Macaca fascicularis: one gene and its partners. The protein of the gene in region 2 purifies or fractionates together with the protein of the main gene of each other region. This does not show direct contact. Links are inferred from orthologs where the notes say so. Each region holds a gene or a part of one and is shown on either strand. Other genes may lie near its edges.

What was found.
Region 1: the proteins of PPP1R12A (region 2) and PPP1CB purify together in Homo sapiens (affinity purification with mass spectrometry; 6 studies listed by BioGRID and IntAct, with this or other methods). This does not show direct contact. The link is inferred for Macaca fascicularis from reciprocal best matches to the Homo sapiens genes PPP1R12A and PPP1CB.
Region 3: the proteins of PPP1R12A (region 2) and RHOA fractionate together in Homo sapiens (co-fractionation; 3 studies listed by BioGRID and IntAct, with this or other methods). This does not show direct contact. The link is inferred for Macaca fascicularis from reciprocal best matches to the Homo sapiens genes PPP1R12A and RHOA.

The regions. Positions count from the first base shown.
Region 1 is NC_088387.1:93,467,739-93,471,895, reverse strand, and holds the start of PPP1CB (serine/threonine-protein phosphatase PP1-beta catalytic subunit), read left to right. Parts: upstream 1-1,321; 5' UTR 1,322-1,362; exon of another isoform or gene 1,363-1,399; intron 1,400-1,408; exon of another isoform or gene 1,409-1,616; 5' UTR 1,617-1,703; coding exon 1,704-1,755; intron 1,756-4,157. UniProt on the Homo sapiens protein: Protein phosphatase that associates with over 200 regulatory proteins to form highly specific holoenzymes which dephosphorylate hundreds of biological targets.
Region 2 is NC_088385.1:86,746,226-86,750,589, reverse strand, and holds the start of PPP1R12A (protein phosphatase 1 regulatory subunit 12A), read left to right. Parts: upstream 1-1,528; 5' UTR 1,529-1,544; coding exon 1,545-1,781; intron 1,782-4,364. UniProt on the Homo sapiens protein: Key regulator of protein phosphatase 1C (PPP1C). Mediates binding to myosin. As part of the PPP1C complex, involved in dephosphorylation of PLK1. Capable of inhibiting HIF1AN-dependent suppression of HIF1A activity.
Region 3 is NC_088376.1:112,372,622-112,376,195, reverse strand, and holds part of RHOA (transforming protein RhoA), read left to right. Parts: intron 1-88; exon of another isoform or gene 89-180; intron 181-2,904; 5' UTR 2,905-2,906; coding exon 2,907-3,062; intron 3,063-3,574. UniProt on the Homo sapiens protein: Small GTPase which cycles between an active GTP-bound and an inactive GDP-bound state.

The DNA of each region.
Region 1 (4,157 bases), on a different chromosome or scaffold from region 2:
TCATCTGGACATTGGAAAGCACTTGGTTGGACAAAGCTGCTTCTCCCCCACAGCACATGCCTGTTTCAGCATCTCAGCCCACATTCACGGAGAGGGAGAATATCGCAATTGTTAAGAATGCAGACTCTAGCACTACATGCCTGGGTTTGAATCCCAGCTCTGCTGCTTATTTGTGTGATTTGGGCTAGGTTTTTTAACCATCTGTGCCTCGGTAAATCCCATCTACAAAGCAGAGATAATAATAGTACCTACCTCACAGGGCTGTTATAAGGATTAAATGAGGTAACGCGGGTGTAACATTTAAAACAGTGGCACAGCACATAACAGGGATATGAACAAATGTTAGCTACTATTAGTGATATGTGAGTGGGGGAAGTACTGCCTTGGACTTGGGGCAATATCAGATCTGAGTTTCTGGAAAAACACCTGTGGAATAAGTAAGGGTTGGCCACCTCCTAAAACAGGACAAAAGATCTGGCTTGCCTAGATCCTTAGCGTGACTGCCTCTCCTCCTGCCTTTCTAGAAGCAGTATTACGTGATGGAAATATTTGGTGGGTGCTGTGGGCACAAAGATAAGTTAGTGTGTTTTTATCCCCTAGGAGCTGAGTCGAGAGTGGGAGAAAAATGCATAAATAATTACCAGGTAGGATGATTAAGCAATATACTGGAAGCAGCAACAGAAACACACTGTGGAAAAAAAGATACCCACGGCGTGGATGGAGATACAAGATGTGTGAAAGCGCTAAACACAGGCAGCCATATGCACCCATGTAAAATTGTATTATTGCTGACTCCTACAGGGCCCACTTTAACTCTTCTTTCAAACAGAATCCCTGCGGAACTAATTTTGTAGAACCACTGGGGGTAAAGACCTTTATTTGCAATGTCGAACTCCAGCAGAGTTAACCCCTTCTTGCTTTTCACAAGCGCAAACCCGGGTTCCAAACGCTGCAGTTCGCGTTTCCCGGCTAGGAAGAAACACGAGGAACTGCTTGCAGATCTAAGGTATGAAGCCATGAAAAGGAAAGCGAGGCCAAAAGGGTGCAACCACCACGTCTGGAAAGCGCCAGTGAAGCAGAGGAGGAGGAAGGTGAGCCCTGCCCCAGCCCGCTCTGCGTAACCGGGGCTTCCTCCGAGCGGCAAAGCCGGGCACCTCCTTGGCGCCTGCGCCGCGGCGGCGAAACTCGGCGCCGTGGACGTAGAGAGAGAGGGCGACGCACCTGCGCGAAGACGGCGGCGGCAGAAGCCGCTCCAGTGCGGCTGCGCGGAGGCCCAGGCGTCGAGGGGAACCTCGGCGGGGAGCGCGCCGGGCGCCTGCGCGGAGAGCTGCGTGACGCGGTGGCGCGCAAGGGACGTGCGGAGTGAGTGGCGCTGCGGGTGGGGCCGTCGGCGGCGCTGGTGAGCTTTGCGGAGCTGGGCGGTGCCGAGGACGAGGAGGTGGCGGCCTTGGTCTGACGCGGCCCTGTTTGTGGGGGCCCCTCTTGTTTATTTATTTATTTTCCGTGGGTGCCTCCGAGTGTGCGCGCGCTCTCGCTACCCAGCGGGGAGGGGGTGGGGGGAGGGCCCGGGAAAAGGGGGAGTTGGAGCCGGGGTCGAAACGCCGCGTGACTTGTAGGTGAGAGAACGCCGAGCCGTCGCCGCAGCCTCCGCCGCCGAGAAGCCCTTGTTCCCGCTGCTGGGAAGGAGAGTCTGTGCCGACAAGATGGCGGACGGGGAGCTGAACGTGGACAGCCTCATCACCCGGCTGCTGGAGGGTGAGTGCGCGCCGGGCCGTGGGACGGAGGGAGGTCGGGCGCCGCCGCCGACCCCTGCGTCCACCTCCGCCGCCGAAACGCGAGGGGACCTCTTTCCCGCCCCGAGGCTGTCTCTGGGAGCGCGGCGCGGCAGACCAGCCGAGGAGGGGGCGAGGAGGCTGCTGGGCGCCGGGGAGCGGCCTCCGGGAGCGCGGTCAGGGGAAATCGGGGGAGAGGGGGCCGTCCCCGCGGACCCTTGGTGGCCAGGCCCGCCGGCCGGCAGCTGTGCGGAGCGGGTCTGCGGGAGACAGCCTTTCGGAAAGGCCGCCGGGCTCCGCGCGCCGTCGTGCTCGCCTCCGGTGACTCCTCCGAGGAGGGGGAGAGGATGCCTGCCACCGGGCTTTGTGTGTCCGTGGAATCAGTGTTTCTTCTCTCTTTGTGCATTGCCCTTGGCTGCCTCCGATTGTCGTTCCGCGAGTGAATTTTATGTATATATATAAAAACCTGTCCGTAACAGGAATGCTTCGTCTGCTCTGCATTTTTACACGATGCCATAGAATGGATTCTTCTTAGAGAGGATAAAATTAGCGGGAATTTATCTACCATTTGTTATTCGGCCTAAAAAAATTGTAAGACAAAATATTTGATCAGGTTGAAGATGCACGTAAGAAATGTGATGTATGTAGATGTTGGCTTTTGCGTTTGATTTGAGCAGAGCTTAATTTCTGCACAACTTAGTGAAGATCTATTTTTAAAGCCTGTCTTGTGTTCGAAAGGTATTTGCAAGTCTACGCAGCATTTGAACTTTCCGGGCCCTGGTGTTCTTATCGAATAGTTTTATGTTGGTGGGAAGGCAAGGGGGGGGAAAGCCAGGAGTTAAATGTATTGATTCATTGCAGGATATTATTCAAAGTTAAATGCCAAACAGTCCTTCTACCCTAAAATGTTCGTCATCACTAATTGTTTTGTGAGTGTGTAGAAAAGCCATTAATCCCTTTTAAACAATTTAGAGGCCTCTTTGTTAGCCGCCATCGAAGGATTGCATATGTACTGTTTGCTTTCAAATTACCTTAAGATAATTGTTTGCTACAGTAAAGCAACATGTACTTATATTTGGAAAATCATCAAAGAATATTTTAATGGGGGAGGGGTAACTCGTTTTTTTCAACGAATGTGTCGGTATCTAAAACCCAAGTTCTGTGTGTAGCCGTTCTGTAACTAAATACTGTATATTTGCTCCAGAAGTGAAAGCCATCCAGCAGTCTTAAGACTGAATAGGAAGCAAAAGTTTTACCAGGAACTCTTATTTACCTTTTCCTTTACTATCAAGTTATTCCTGGGAGGCCCCCTGGTGCCTGCAGTCAGTGTTCACTACCTAAGACTTTGTTTCAGATGTGAACGTCTTGCTGGGTATTTGAGAAATTTGCTTTGAAGAAAAATTGTATTTTGTAACTGTTCTATGAGAGAAATACAGTTAATTTAAAAATGTATATGTCTTGTTTACATTTGGGAAAGTAGAGGCCTACTCTCCCCCCCCCTCCCCCCACGGAGTCTCACTGTGTCTCCCAGGCTGGAGTGCAATGGCACGGTCTCGGCTCACTGCAACCTCCGCCTCCCGGGTTTGAGCGATTCTTCCGCCTCAGCCTCCCGAGTAGCTGGGATTACAGGCACTCCGCCATCATGCCCGGCTAATTTTTTTTTTGTATTTTTGTAGAGACGGAGGTTTCACCATCTTGGCCAGGCTGGTCTTGAACTCTTGACCTCGTGATCCACCCGCCTCAGCCTCCCAAAGTGCTGGGATTACCGGCGTGAGCCATCGCGCCGGACCCAATTTTATATATTTTAAACTTTGCTTGTAAATTTAAATATTTTAAAAATATGTTTGTATCTCAACTTTATATTTTATTTCATTTTCCATCTATTTTATAGGCATAAAACAGATTTATGTTTTAAAATGTTTGTATCCTTTTAAATTAGATGCACCTTTTTATGATTACAGGTACTTAAACTTCACGAGTGGGTTGTGCAAGGTTACTGGAAAAGACATTGGGGGAAAAATAGTCTAAGTGATTCAATTTGTTTTTGTGAATTCAAATTAAGTATTTGGTTTTGTACAATCTTTTTTCCTTTTTGGGGGGCGGGGGTAAGAATTGTAGTCCAGACACATTTCTCTCAATTTAGCAAGCGTTAACATGTTGACCTCCTCCTTGCCAGGCACCAGCAATCCTAAAACAAGACACAGTCTCTTCACTCAAGGAGCTCCGAGTCTAAACAAGTGGCTTTCAGGCTTTTTCAGCCTTCTCTCTGTCCTGTGTTCAGCACACATTCTATCAGTAGATTTCAGTACTTCTTCATCCTACAGAAGCATATTTAGTTTGACAGTGCTACCCAGGGATTCTTAAATATTCTGGGTTTTTCACCTC
Region 2 (4,364 bases):
CTGGAAAAGGCATTATGCTGACAGTAAGAAAAGCTTATTTGTTCACTGCTCCATCTCCAGCACCCAAAACAATGCCTTACCCAGAACAGGTGCATAGTATTTGCTGAGTGAATTCTAATCCTACTTCTGGGTAAAATTAAGTAAATTATCTAGTTCTTGAGGGACTCAATCTAGACGACCCCTAATCTTCCATGGTAAGGTTTTGTGGTTTTTGACTTTTCTAAATGCTCTAAAAATAGTAGTGGATAATAACGATATAGTGTTCAGTAAAATCAATTGGTGGAGATTGTAGATAGATGGCTCATAAGACATCAGTATTACAAATCCTATGTGTGTGCGCGTGTGGTCATACAAGGCAAAGTTAAAGTCTTTTTTTATGAAGATGATAAATTACAGTCTTGTTTGGGCAAGTGAACTCAAGAGGTGGTTCAAATAAATGTCATATTTTTCATTGTATATTCAGTGCCTAGTACAGTTACTGGCTCATAGTAGGTATTCAAAAAATAGTGGTTGAATTAATAGCCTTCATTAACATTCCGTTTAAATACTAGACGCAGCTAGGTCTCTAACCCTCCTTAGAAAGAGATGGAGCTGTAACCAGAAATCCCTTAAAAGGTAAGGACCAGTAATCAGGCTGAGCTAAGCTCCTCATGGGTCCTACGAAACAGGCTTAAAGCACTGAAGGAAGAGAACTCAAGCGTGAGAGAAAGCAAAACAAAAGTAAAGAGAAGAGGAAAAACATTTCTAAAGTGGGGGTTGGCAGGAAGCCACCGCAATTACCGCAGGTCAACCCTGGCCAATAGGTGGTCACCTCAAGAACTTACCATTAAAACCCTCGGCTACACAGACCTCACTTTTAAAAGGTTAATTCTGACATGCCCAAGTTCATCTGAGTTCCTTAGAGCAACCACCAGCACCTACTTCACGACCTATCCTCCATTCCATTCAAATAACGCAGCCAATAGGAAAATCCTCCGCCTTGAGCCAACGACTCGGCGTAGCTGAAACAGGCCGGGAGGCAGATCTGCCCTGTAGACCCTTGCAGTTCCACTGCTGGCCTCCGGATTACCGGGAGCCCCCAGCCCGGCAGGACAACCTTCCTTCCCCGCTTCCTCCTTTCCAGGTCTGTCCCAGCCCCCGCTGCCTGGGCCACACCCGCTTCCCTCCGGTGGCCCAGCCACCCCCGCCGCAGTTCGCGGGAGCGCCTTTCCTGGGGCGGGCGCAGGCCCAGGGCGCATGCGCACTGGTCGAAGGGCACCTCCCAGTCCGGATCTCGCGAAGTTACGTTAGATTGGCCGCCGGTGACGGGTGGCCGTGCTGGGGGCGGGAGGGCTTCTGTTGTAGGAAGGGAGGTCCGCTCGGCCGGGCGCGCCGCCCCAGTGCTCTGTGGGATACTGGAAGTCTCGAGCGTCTCCTCCCGGTTCCCAGCCTTCCTCTGGCCCTCACTCATAGAAACATTCACACACCCCCTGCCTCCCCTCTCTTCCCTCTCCGCCTCCCCCTTCCACCCCTCGCGATAAGAAGACCCGGCGGCAGGAGAGGGGATGAAGATGGCGGACGCGAAGCAGAAGCGGAACGAGCAGCTGAAGCGCTGGATCGGCTCCGAGACGGACCTCGAGCCTCCGGTGGTGAAGCGCCAGAAGACCAAGGTGAAGTTCGACGATGGCGCCGTCTTCCTGGCTGCTTGCTCCAGCGGGGACACGGACGAGGTCCTCAAGCTGCTGCACCGCGGCGCCGACATCAATTACGCCAATGTGGACGGACTCACTGCCCTGCACCAGGTCTGTGCGCCCAGTCGCCGGCTCTCCTGACCCTGAGGGTCCTCGTCGGCCTCCCGCCGGGGCCTGCCCTCAGTTCTCCACCTCTTGAGGCTGGGGGCGGCGGGAGACTGCTGCGGGGTGAGGGGGCGGTTTCCCGAGAGGGCGGGAGGGAGAGCTGGTGGAGGGGAGGGCGCTGGGCTTGAGGCCCCCTTCAGAACAGTTGCTGGTGAAGTTGGGAACCGGGTGATTTCCGGGGCACAGGGGAAAAGGAACTGTGGTCGTCTTGGGGCCCCAGGGCCATTGGTGCGATGAGTCTGGGATTTGGGGTCGAGACAAGGAGGGGTGTAGTGGGGTTGTGCCTGGGCCCCCGTGTCAGTGATAAATTCGGAGGGGTGGATGCTGAAGGAAGAAAACTAACAAGAGGCATTAGGGACGCTTAGGCAGATGAACATCTTTGACTTGTAGGTAGGCATTGGATTTGTTGCACTTTTGAGGACTTGATTACAAATGATGATGATAATAGTAATCTAGAGCCCTAAGCCGAGTGCCCTGAGCGAACGATTTCCTGTTTTCTCATTTATTACTCTTGGTCACTGGGGAGGGGAAAACAGGGTGTAATTAGCTGATCTGCACCGGCTGAAAGGAAGGGGATGGAAATGGGTAGAGTAAGGAAGCCCTCTAAAGGGTTTGCCCACCTCCGGACCGGAACGTGTTGAGTCTGATACTCGAAGTTTGCCGCAATGTCAGAGATCTTGAGCCCCAGGTCCTGGGGTGTGCACTGGTGTTAGAAAGAGAAGAATAAATAGGGGACACTCTTTTCAAAGCTGGTTACCAAGCTCTGATTTTTCTTTTGGGGGTGGGAAGAAAAAAAGACTGGTCACAAACTTTTCTCAAAATGGATGCTTTGTGCATGTTAAAGTTTTATAGTAGTCTGATTGGGATCTCTCAATGTTAGCCAAATAAGGAGAAACTATTGGCAATCCAGAGATAATGTTGCCTTGCCTTTAACAGGCCAAAAGCAACACAACCATGTAGAGTTCTGCATAAAAAGCAATTTTTAAGTGATGGTAATAGGTGACAAGACATAGGCTTTTTCGATTTTCTTGGCGGGCAACTTGGAATAACTATAATAGAAAATGACTTTGCAGCAATAGCTTTCCCTTACAATGAAAAGACTTGTAAGCTATCTCAAAGTTGCCTTGGTTGTATGTGGAAGATGCATAGCCTTATTTCGAGTAATGCTGTAGTAAAAACTTGTTTGGGAGGTTGAAAACTCAAGGCTTTATTATATTTCATGAATATTAACTTGATGCCTTTTTAAAAGAGGTGTGTAGTGACATTTTTCCTTGTATTGCTTACTGTTTAAGGGAGTGATGACCATTTTAAATTTTATGTAATGGAATTCTCGTATCAGACCTGGAGTATAGCCTTTGTTTACAAAGTTGACTGGATACATTGAAATTATTGACAAATTGCAGGACAAATATGGAATTAAAAATGTGGCACCCAGTAAAAATATAACAGGGTATCTAGCGTTTTTTCTATTTCATTAATTTAGATTCTCTAATGCATAGCAAACTTTTTATTTGGGTGAAGTTTATTTAAGGCATATCATAACTCTTAAGATTTTAAAACCATGGTGTTGAGAATGAAAGAAACTTTTGGCATTAAAAATGATAATGTAATTATGTAAGATGAATCTTCAAATTTCTTTCAAGTGTACTTCACACGTTTTAGTGTTTTAGTGTGAAATAGATTTTGATTATTACTGTAGGAGGTCAAGATAATTGGATAATTGTTCGCATCAATATGTTTTATTCAAATCGTCAAATAGAAATTTAAAGTTACTATTGTTGTGGAGGAACCCAATTGTATTGGCCTGGAGGAAGACGAAAATTTTTGATATTTACATTGTTGTAATACTGGTTTAGGGAGGAAGAGAAAATACATTTAACTGTCTTCTTAAGATCTTTTTTCCTCCTCTCAATATTCACATGTTGCAAGAATTGTCAGACTTACCAATGTCTTCCTGATTAACTGAATTCAGTGGTCAGTTTGGTGTTGTGTAGCTGTATCTTTATTGGGTATTTTGTTTTAGTTGACAAACACTTAAACAGAAGTTTCTAAATTTACACCATTTGCATAATACCTTTCTGTCACTTTTTGTCACTATGAGTGTTTGACCCGATAATTTCCAACCGCCTCCCCTTTTCCATAACATTTTTCCTTATCTGCAAATTCCTTAAATCAATGAAGCCAAAATCTTTAAAATATCAAGCATTAAAATTTTTGTTATGTTTTCTTCACTCTCATTTCTTATTTATCAACTCTTGTACTTTTTTCCCATTGTTACTATGAAAATAGGGAGTTCACTTTGGGCAAATTTAGGACAACAGCTAGTGAAAGACAGTAAATAAACACACACACAAGAAAATTTTAAACTTTTAAGAAAAATCTCTAAACTAAGCTTGTTTTCCATGCTTAATTCGAAATACTAAAATCACTGATTTAATAGTCCTTGAATCGTTTTTTAAAAATTTAACCTCAAAAGATCATAGAATACCTAAAATGTTTTACTGGGTTAATTATTGTTTATTCTTTTTT
Region 3 (3,574 bases), on a different chromosome or scaffold from region 2:
ACATCCTTTGAATTGGATTAGATTGTCTTTTTATTATTGAATTGTAAAAGTTCTTTATTTTTTAATTTTTTCTATATACTGTATTTAGGCCTGGTGAAGTGGCTTATGCTTGTAATCCCAGCACTTTGGGAGGCTGAATCGGGAGGACTGCATGAGCCCAGGAGTTTGAGACCAGCCTGGGTAATATAGTGAAACCCCATCGGTATAAAAATCAGTCACCCGTGGTGGCAGGAGCCTGGTAGTCCCTACTACTTGGGAGGTTGAGGTGGGAGGATCACTTGAGTTGAGCCTGAGAGGCAGAGGCTGCAGTGAGCCAATATTGCACCACTGCTTTCCAGCCTTGGTGACAGAATGAAACCCTTTCTCAAAATAACTATGTAATAGATAAATACATAGATAGGTTAGATAGATACATAGATTGGATAGATGCATAGATAGATGGGCAGTGGCTCATGCCTACAATCCCTCAGCACTGTGAGAGGCCGAGGCGAGTAGATCACTTGAGCTCAGGAGCTGGAGACCAGCCTGGTCAACATGGCGAAATCCCGTCTCTGCCAAAAATACAAAATTAGCTGAGCATGGTGGCGCATGCCTGTGGTCCTGGTCCTGGGGAATCTGAGGTGGGAGGATCACTTGAGCCTCTGAGGCAGAGGTTGCATTGAGCTGAGATCACACCACTGCATTCCATCCAGCCTGGGTGACAGAGTGAGACCTCATCTCAGGAAAAAAAAAAAAAAAAGATAGATGGATAGATAAATAGCATGCTGTACTTCATGCTGGAAAGAGTTTGTTTTTTTTTTGTTGTTTGTTTGTTTGTTTTTTAGACACAGTTTCACTCTGTTGCACAGACTGGAGTACAGTGGTGCAATCTGGGCTCACTGCAATCTCTGCCTCCCAGGTTCAAGCAATTCTTCTGCCTCAGTCTCTCAAGTAACTGGGATTACAAGTGTCCGCCACCACACCCCGCTAAGTTTTGCATTTTTTGTAGAAACAGGGTTTTGCTGGGTTGGTCAGGCTGGTCTCGGACCCCTGACTTCAAGTGTTCTGCTCACCTCAGCCTCCCAAAGTACTGGGATTACAGGCATAAGCTACCGTGCCCAGCCCAAAAAGAATTCTTTATGACTTCGACCTTGCAAGAGATCTTGAGCCAGACCACCAACCTAAGCTACTTTTTTGTAGTTGAGTCGTAAGAGTTTGAGATACAAGGTTTACTCTGTCACTCCAGGCTGGAGTGCAGTGGTGCAATCGTAGCTCACAGCATCTTCCACCTCCTGGGCTCAAGCAATCCTCCCACCTCAGCCTCTTTGGTAGCTGGGACCAGAGGTGCATGCTACCATACCTGGCTGATTTTTTTTTTTTCTTTTCTTTCTTTTTTTAGAGACCATGTCTCAACTGTGGTTCCCCAGGCTGGAATGTAGTGATGCAATCTCAGCTCACTGCAGCCTCCATCTCCTGGACTCAGGTGATTATCCCACCTGAGCCTCCCAAGTAGCTGTGATTAGCGTGCACCACCGCTCCTGGCTAATCTTTTTGTATTTTTGGTAGAGACAGGGTTTCACTATGTTTCTCAGACTGGTCTTGAACTCCTGGATTCTCAAGCACTCCACCTGTAATCCCAGCCTCCCAGAGTGCTGGGATTACAGGTGTGAGCCACTGCGCCCGGCCCTTTTGTTTCTTTTCTTTCTCCCCTCCCCTCTCATGCTTCTGTCCTTCCTTTCTCAGTATCTCACTACGTTGCCAGGGCTGGTCCCTAACTCCTGGGCCTGAGCATTCCTCCTGCTTCAGCCTCCCAAAGTGTTGGGATTACAGACATGAACCACTGTGTTCGGCATCGATTTTTTTTTTTTTTTTTTTTTTGAGATGGAGTTTCACTCTTGTTGTCCAGGCTGGAGTGCAATGGCGTGATCTCGGCTCACCACAACCTCCGCCTACCAGGTTCAAGCGATTCTTCTGCCTTGTGCTCCCAAGTAGTTGGCATTACAGGCACGCACCACCACGCCCGGCTAAGTTTGTATTTTTAGTTGAGACGGGGTTTCTCCATGTTGGTCATGCTGGTCTCAAACTCCCGACCTCAGGTGATCTGCCCACCTCAGCCTCCCACAGTGCTGGGATTACAGGCGTGAGCCACTGTGCCTGGCTCAATTGATTTTTTCAGTGTTAATATTGTATCCTGCAACCTTACTGAACTTGTTTATTCTAAAAGTTTTCTTTAGGATTTCCCACATTACAAAATCATCTCGTGTATGAATTGAGATAGTTTTACTTCTTCCTTTCCAATTTGGATGTCTTTTATTTCATTTTCTTATCTTATTGCCCTGGCTAGGACCTCCAATATCGTGCTGGATAGAAGTGGCAAAAACAAGCCAGGCGGGGTGGCTCATGCCTGTAATCCCAGCGCTTTGGGAGGCTGAAGCAGGTGGATCGCCTGAGGTCAGGACTAGCCTGGCCAACAAGGTGAAACCCCGTCTCTACCAAAAATTCAAAAATTAGCTGCATGTGGTGGTGCATGCCTATAATCCCAGCTACTTGGGAGGCTGAGGCAGGAGAATCACTTGAACCCGGGAGGCTGGAGGTTACAGTGAGCCAAGATTGGGCCAGTGCACTCCAGGTTGGGCGACAGAGTGAGATTGCATCTAAAAAGAAGTAGCAAGAACATACATTATTTTCTTGTTTCTGATCTTAGGAGGCAGACTTTTTTCAGTGTTTTACCATTAAGTATAAAGTTAGTTACGAGTTTTTGATGTATAACCTTTTGGTGCCAGGTGGAATCAGTGTACTAGAAGTTTGAATTTGAGTATGCTAATACAGGCTTATGCCCTGTGGTTACCAAAGCATGTGTCATAGCCTGTAAGCTACCTATGGCTTCTTGTGCATTGCAGGTAACATCTGTGTTTTGTGTTTCAGCAATGGCTGCCATCCGGAAGAAACTAGTGATTGTTGGTGACGGAGCCTGTGGAAAGACATGCTTGCTCATAGTCTTCAGCAAGGACCAGTTCCCAGAGGTGTATGTGCCCACAGTGTTTGAGAACTATGTGGCAGATATCGAGGTGGATGGAAAACAGGTGAGTATACTTTTCATAACAACTGATGCCTGATGCCATTTTCCACGTTAGAATATTTATGAAGCATGTAGAGAATTAGAGCTTTTTGCCTCTTCAGTATACTATATAACAAAAATGTTGAAAAGAATAATCCATTCTCATCCTGCCATCTTAGTCCAAATTTGTTCTTTTTTTCCTTTTTTTTTTTTTTTTTGAGATGGAGTCTCATTCTCCATCTCAAAAAAAAAAAAAGATGCAATTTCTCCATGTTGGCCAGGCTGGTCTCAAACTCCTGACCTCAGGTGATCCACACGCCTCAGCCTCCCAAAGTGCTGGGATTACAGGCATGAGCCACCTTGCCCAGCCATATGTGCTGTTTTCAAGTTTACATATATTTGAAGTTCAGTTCATTGCCATATAGATAATGCTCAGATGAACCTCTTTGTATGGTTGGACTTTTTTTTTTTTTTTTTTTTTGAGACGGAGTCTCGCTCTGTCGCCCAGACTGGAGTGCAGTGGCTGGATCTCAGCTC